Linked DNA regions of Saccharomyces cerevisiae S288C. The gene in region 1 interacts genetically with each later gene. Each region holds a gene or a part of one and is shown on either strand. Other genes may lie near its edges.

Region 1 (4,281 bases):
GAAGTTTGTTTAGATTTTTTGGCAACAAATCTGAGGGAGGAGATTTACCACATCTAGTACAATAAGTTCGCATAGAAAATAATTTTAATATAGGCGAGAATTTCAATTTGTACCTACTGGCGCAAATTCAATAGGTGTTATCTATTGAAAGCACTGAACTTAAATTTACCAATGTATACACGCTCAACATAAAAAAGAGGTAAAAGAAAATATATTTTTTTGTAAGGAAAGGCTTAATAAATATTTACAAGCTAGATAAAAAAAAAATCAAATAGCAAGCTATTCTGTCATATCTTAAGGTGCTGATTGTTTGTAGGCACGAAGTAAACAAGCTCTTCCCCAAAACAATAAATACGGTTTTCGGGACTGTTCACCCGTACATTTTACGTTTCCGACGGCGCGATGCTATCTTTGAATTTTTATCTCTTTCAGGTAACCCCATGACCAGTAGGGCGGCTTACTACCGAAGAGAAAAATGTCCGCGGCCTAGACAGTTACTTCCCAGGCCAGGGCCAGGCCACACGGACAGAGGCAGATTCCAAGTTGTTCCGCATAGTCTGTCTAGCTCTTTCTCAATTTTCCGCCAGATTCTGTCTAATTTCTTTCCGCTCGAGTTGGCAACAGTACGAAGAAGTAACTCTAATAGATAGATATAACCGTTTTTGAGGGCATTATTTTTGCAGAAGATAATAGAAGAGAACCGTAACAAAGGAATCAAGCAAAGAAAAAGTATGTAATAGAATGTATTGTATGCTTGTGGAATGAATGTCAATGTAGCTATTTTATATGGTGAGCTCAAATTGAATGAACATATCGTGGAAATTTAAAATACTGAAGAATACCCAATAAGTCAATGCAACCTGTGAATGTTTTTCCTGAAATACGCCGAATACTGAATACGATTATTACCATAAATTGCTTCTAGAAGGAAGGCGGTGTACCATTTAATACTGATGATATGGTTAATATCATTTGAGAAGTCTTCACATGAGGACTATAGAACTACCATCCAGGAATTATAGAGGAAATTAACTGAATCAGAGATCTATTTTGAAACATTCATTTACATGTAATTGTCTGCAATAAAGCAATATTTTTGAAATATGCAAGTTTACTAACAAGAATAAATTCTTTTTTGATTTTTATCTTTAACAGTGGCTCATTTCAAAGAATACCAAGTCATTGGTCGTCGTTTACCAACTGAATCCGTTCCAGAACCAAAGTTGTTCAGAATGAGAATTTTTGCTTCAAATGAAGTCATCGCCAAGTCTCGTTACTGGTATTTCTTGCAAAAATTGCACAAGGTTAAGAAGGCTTCTGGTGAAATTGTTTCCATCAACCAAATCAACGAAGCTCACCCAACCAAGGTCAAGAACTTCGGTGTTTGGGTTAGATACGATTCCAGATCTGGTACTCACAACATGTACAAGGAAATCAGAGACGTATCCAGAGTTGCTGCCGTCGAAACCTTATACCAAGACATGGCTGCTAGACACAGAGCTAGATTTAGATCTATTCACATCTTGAAGGTTGCTGAAATTGAAAAGACTGCTGATGTCAAGAGACAATACGTCAAGCAATTCTTGACCAAGGATTTAAAATTCCCATTACCTCACAGAGTCCAAAAATCTACCAAGACTTTCTCTTACAAGAGACCATCAACCTTCTACTAAGCCAACAAGATATTTCTACGTTTTTTAGTATAATAAAATTTTGTATAATTCATTTTGTAGATTCAAGGAAATTTTAAAATATATCCTGTTTCTTCTCTTACATTATGCACTACCAGCGTGAAAGCACAATGTCATGCCATGTATCTTTACAAAATCCAGGGTCCATAGCGGGTAACAAATTATTGGTTTTTCTGCGATAAATATAAAACGTAGCGTAATTATAAAAATCCTGAGCGGTGTTGTCGTAGAGCAGTTGAACATTACGTAAACAGATATCTACGCATTTCTGTCATTTGGATTCATACAGGGTTTACAGACAATATGGGGACCGAAGATGCCATTGCCCTTCCAAATAGCACGCTAGAGCCGCGTACCGAAGCTAAGCAAAGACTATCATCTAAGAGTCATCAAGTCTCGGCGAAAGTAACGATTCCAGCAAAAGAAGAAATTAGTAGTAGCGATGACGATGCACACGTTCCAGTGACAGAAATACATTTGAAATCTCATGAATGGTTCGGCGATTTTATAACTAAACATGAAATTCCCCGTAAGGTGTTCCATTCTTCCATTGGCTTTATTACTTTGTACCTGTATACGCAGGGTATTAATTATAAAAATGTTTTATGGCCTTTGATATACGCCTTCATCATATTGTTTATTTTGGATCTGATAAGACTAAACTGGCCCTTTTTCAATATGCTTTACTGTAGAACTGTGGGTGCGCTAATGAGAAAAAAGGAGATTCATACATACAATGGGGTATTGTGGTACATTCTTGGGTTAATCTTTTCTTTTAACTTTTTCTCTAAAGATGTTACCTTAATATCGTTATTTTTGCTAAGTTGGTCCGATACAGCCGCCGCAACTATTGGAAGAAAGTATGGTCATTTAACACCCAAAGTGGCAAGAAATAAATCCCTTGCAGGTTCGATAGCTGCGTTTACAGTTGGTGTTATCACCTGCTGGGTATTTTATGGCTATTTTGTTCCTGCCTACAGCTACGTCAACAAACCTGGCGAGATCCAATGGAGCCCAGAAACAAGCAGATTAAGTTTGAATATGCTATCCTTGTTAGGTGGTGTGGTAGCTGCTTTGAGTGAAGGTATAGATTTGTTCAACTGGGATGATAATTTCACTATTCCTGTCCTGTCATCACTTTTTATGAACGCAGTAATCAAAACATTCAAGAAATAAAAGCATATATACCAAAAACAGGAGTGTTTTATATTCTTCGGTAAGTCTTTTTTACAGTAACTGGAGTGCGCGATTCAGTTTATCTGTGGTTAACGATCCAGCACCTCTTCGATCTTTGGCATCCACAAATTATTTTTCTAAATATCCTACATATCCGAGTATAGAGTTAGAACCTGTGTAAATTATTCAGCAGTATTTCCGTATTTTTCACGCCATTAGAAACATTCGACACAAGCAGTTTTATGAAAACATTTATGTTACTAATATATGTGCCAACAAGCGCATCCAAATGGGGCGCAACATTATTATTTAATCGTAAACCTACACCATATTTTCATCAGTAAAAAAAGGCTTTTTCATGCCCCAACTTTGTCACAAAGCAATCATATCAGAGAACAATAAAAAAGAACAATCCTGCGAAATACGATTACCAAGATCCTGAACCAGCGTTCATTTATCTTGGCATCTCAAGGATATATGGTTTATCTGCGATTACCGCCCAGTGGCCTTATTGATATTGATATCATTGTGTACGTTAGAACAGAAAAAAAGAAATTTGGAAAATTTTTCAACCTCATCGAAAATTTTCAGAAAAGCAAGAATTATTTATGCTTTCGCAAAAATTTCGCATATAAGTTATTTTTGAAATAGCAGTCGATACCAAATTAGCTGTAGAACCTCAACCTCCTCATACAATGGCTTACGTTTTAACTGAAACTTCAGCTGGTTATGCTCTTTTAAAAGCTTCCGATAAGAAAATCTACAAATCTTCAAGCTTAATTCAAGACTTGGATAGCTCTGACAAAGTCTTGAAGGAATTCAAGATCGCCGCCTTTTCCAAGTTCAACTCTGCAGCTAACGCTTTAGAGGAAGCCAACTCCATTATTGAAGGTAAAGTTTCTTCCCAATTAGAAAAACTTCTGGAAGAAATTAAAAAGGACAAGAAGTCGACCTTGATTGTTAGTGAAACTAAACTGGCAAACGCTATTAATAAGTTGGGATTGAACTTCAATGTTGTTTCCGATGCTGTAACCTTAGATATCTATAGAGCTATCAAAGAATATTTGCCAGAATTGCTGCCAGGTATGTCTGATAATGATCTAAGCAAGATGTCTTTGGGTTTAGCTCATTCCATCGGTCGTCACAAATTAAAATTTTCTGCTGACAAAGTTGATGTTATGATTATTCAAGCAATTGCTTTATTGGATGATTTAGATAAAGAATTAAACACATATGCCATGAGATGTAAAGAATGGTACGGGTGGCACTTTCCTGAGTTAGCTAAGATTGTTACTGATTCCGTCGCTTATGCGAGAATTATTCTAACAATGGGTATCAGATCCAAGGCTTCTGAAACAGATTTGAGTGAAATCTTACCAGAAGAGATTGAAGAACGTGTCAAAACCGCTGCTGA
Region 2 (3,616 bases), on another chromosome or scaffold:
GTCCATCCGGTCATACAGGTTCTGTACACCTTGTGTAGTCTTCGGGACGAAGTACTCGAATGAGTAAGTGGGCTTGCCAGAGGTCTGTCTATGTTGCTCTAATTTTTCTGTGATCTTCATATTGCGATGTGGTTGTAGTAGTAACTGTGGTGGTTCTGTTTGCTGATAACTTTAGTTTAGGGAGACTATTTCAATCAAGGGGAGCAAGGCAAACTACACGAAACACAAGCTGTGGCATTAGCTTTTCCACGAGCGAAATATCACCTTTTTTTTTCTACTTTTCGTATATATGATATATATACGTATATATATATATACATACAAACATATATATATATATATATATATCAAATTTTGGAAAAATTTGAGTCAAAGTTGCATATGCAATATTCACAGTCTATAATCCGAGGGATAGAATGACTAAACGACGGCCCGCTACCGGGAGAAAAGTCGCTGTTATTTTTTCAGTCGCTCGTGGTCTATCGCCAACTTTTCCTGAGTCATACTGGACGTAGCGCGGCTGCGTCGCGAGCGTAGACAAGGCCTGTCACTATGTACGCAGCTAGCAATCCAGACATGTGCTCACGTACGGTGTGGAAACGGGACGCCACCGCAGTCAACAGCAGCTGCCATAACCACGTGACCAATAGCGTCAGCAGTATGATTACTGGGTGGTCGCATGCTATGCATCGCGTCAAACGGAGCAGGGCGGCCGCGCACGTGACAGGCGGCTCGACTATCGCACGCCACAAACGGGCGCCACAGGTCATTGAGCCGCCGCCACACCGCCGCCACGTCCATAGCGGTCCAGTGTCGAAAAGGCGGGTCACCAATCGTACAAGCTGCCATTTCTGCGCGTACAAGTGAGCCAGTGCACGACGCCCAAACACACGTAGCTCACCTAGAAGAAACATGCACATCAAGGTGGCCAAGAACACGTGCCCGGATGGATCGTGTCCTCCAGCCCAATGGCCTCCAAAACGTCTGCACTGTGCCGAGGTGGTTAACGGACCTTGCCACCTGTGCATCTGGTCATGAATAAAAGTATTGATGGCAGCGGCAGCGCTGGCCGTTACGTTTTTTGGGGTTTTCGGTTGCGTCGCCTGCAGGGCGCCCTGGATCGACCCTATGGAGCGGTCCCAGAGTTGTTGCTGACGGTGTTCTTGGTGGTGTCCGTGCAAAGTGAGGACATTGTGAATGAGCGCCAACGCGCGATTAGTCCGGGTGACAGAACCCTGGAAGTCTTCGTTCACGTGACCTGCATCATCGAAGACGTCATAGTGACAATGGCCACCCGTATATACGAATACCAAGTCCATGATGGGGCCTACGCCAAACCATATACCTTGCGTGAATACGTACCACCACACTGTCAGTATGGCATACCTTTTGAATGACTGGACAATGTGTCTTCGGTCTCTGCCGGTTGCCCCCGGCACCGCACGGTAGCGTATAATACACCACCATCCGACCAAGGAAGTCCAAAACCACCCTTTCTTTACCAACATAGCATTTACCAGACCATCCTTATTCAGGGTTGCTTGCAGCGCCGCACCGTAGCCATACGCGTTCATGAGATATCCTACCAGTACCGTCAACGGGCACACCAGTAGGTGTATAGCATTAAACCATTTGCTAGACATTGTTGTAATATGCCGTGCTTTATAGCTGGTTTCAGTGGAGTTTTAGGCGTTTCCCCTTTGGCTTTTTTCGAACAGTTCGTTTTGTATTTTATTTCACGGTTTTCCCGCTAACGTGTTCTTAAAGGATGAAAAAGAAAAAGAAATGCAGGAAAAATGAGGCAAAGTAAGCCAAAACTTATAGCACTCATAAGACGGCAAAGTTCCCCCAAGCTCCACCCAGGATGTCAAGCACTAATGGAAACGCACCAGCGACACCTTCCTCGGATCAAAATCCTCTCCCCACGAGGTTCGAAGTGGAGCTCGAATTTATCCAGTCACTGGCAAACATCCAATACGTAACGTACTTACTCACTCAACAGCAGATCTGGAAGTCTCCTAACTTCAAAAACTACTTGAAATACCTGGAGTACTGGTGCAACCCCCCTTATTCGCAATGCATTGTGTATCCAAACTGTCTCTTCATTTTAAAGCTGTTGAACGGGTTCATGGAGTCGGCGATCGTTAATGAAGATGGCCTGCTGGAAGGGCTAGACGAGCTGCCCAAGATCATTCAATTACAAGGCCCGCAATGGATGAATGAAATGGTAGAAAGATGGGCCAACTGAACACACCTAATTATAACTACATTCGCACGCATTCATATATCTATTTTATACACTCATGAATATATATACACACACACACATATATATATCACATATATACATATATATATGTATATATATATGCAAGCCGCATTACTTTGTATTTTCTTTCCTTTGTTTTCCTTGCATATTATCTCGCAAGACATTAGAAGATGAAAGCAAAATCAAAAAGCAAGTCCATCGCCGTACTACAAGCCTCGCCACGACTATGCCAGGACACGAATTGGAAGACGTAATAAATCAACGTTTGAACCTATATGATGTATTAGAATTACCGACCCCCCTGGACGTCCATACCATCTACGATGATTTGCCCCAAATTAAACGCAAATACAGGACCCTTGCCCTGAAGTATCATCCTGACAAACACCCGGACAATCCATCAATTATACACAAATTCCACTTATTATCGACCGCAACTAATATCCTCACCAATGCAGACGTGAGACCCCATTACGACCGCTGGTTAATTGAGTTCCTACGGAAAACAAACGACATTGAAAGAAATAAACTTATACAAAAGCTGGAAGAATCTGAATCGAGTACGATACCCACCACCACACCACATCCTGATTTATTGCAAATCCAACGCCACGGCGAGCTACTCAGGAAACTAAAACATTTCAACTTGCCCTATGGTGACTGGAAACATCTCAACACACAAGACCAAGAAAATGCTTCGCAACATCCGTATTACGATTGCTCTACTTTGAGAATTGTCCTTGACAACTTCCTGCAATCAAATAATAAATCAAACTGCTTATCTCATTTGCGCAATCAAGTATTCATCACGCTAAGTGCTAATGAAATCTACGACATCTACTTCTCTGAAAGAAACAACTACTCGAAGGATGATTCAATCATCATATATACTGTATTCGATACTCCCATCACAGCGCAGCACGTATTCCGAAACTGGTCAAGTGGGAACCTCATACCCACGGTCAAGGATATTTCGCCCTTGATCCCGCTACATTACTACTCTGATTTTAATTTGGAGACGGAACTGAATGACGATATTGCAAGACTGGTCTCTAATGAACCTATCCTACTCGACTAGCTTGCACATATGTATGCCTGTTTTTCTTTATCCTATGGAACACTATATTTTCCGGGGCTTTCTTACAAAACGGAAGAAAAAGAAAAGGAAACTCAGCAAGTACTATGTACAAGAATATATATATATGTATATTGTATATATACATCAACTTCTATACTTCGAGGGAAAACATTAACAAGAGAACAAGTACAAGCCACGTGGTATACGTATCAGAATAATGCTACGTATGTCAACTTCAAGATTCATTGGGCAAAGGCTGTTCACTACGG

Evidence for each region.
Region 2: mutations in DGK1 (region 1) and SCS3 together harm fitness more than expected from each alone (negative genetic interaction), as found in Saccharomyces cerevisiae (4 studies listed by BioGRID).

What each region holds. Positions count from the first base shown.
Region 1 is NC_001147.6:897,642-901,922, reverse strand, and holds DGK1 (diacylglycerol kinase), read left to right. Parts: upstream 1-1,994; coding exon 1,995-2,867; downstream 2,868-4,281. Other genes in the region: SPS4 (Sps4p), read left to right, coding at 1-65; 60S ribosomal protein eL20 RPL20B, read left to right, coding at 729-729, 1,156-1,673; RNA-processing protein NOP58, read left to right, coding at 3,563-4,281. UniProt on the Saccharomyces cerevisiae protein: CTP-dependent diacylglycerol kinase that catalyzes the phosphorylation of diacylglycerol (DAG) to phosphatidate (PA). Controls phosphatidate levels at the nuclear envelope.
Region 2 is NC_001139.9:269,024-272,639, reverse strand, and holds SCS3 (Scs3p), read right to left. Parts: upstream 1,644-3,616; coding exon 501-1,643; downstream 1-500. Other genes in the region: methylenetetrahydrofolate reductase (NAD(P)H) MET13, read right to left, coding at 1-120; mediator complex subunit SOH1, read left to right, coding at 1,865-2,248; U2-type spliceosomal complex subunit CWC23, read left to right, coding at 2,496-3,347; mitochondrial 37S ribosomal protein mS29 RSM23, read left to right, coding at 3,565-3,616. UniProt on the Saccharomyces cerevisiae protein: Fatty acyl-coenzyme A (CoA) diphosphatase that hydrolyzes fatty acyl-CoA to yield acyl-4'-phosphopantetheine and adenosine 3',5'-bisphosphate. Preferentially hydrolyzes unsaturated long-chain acyl-CoA substrates in the endoplasmic reticulum (ER) lumen.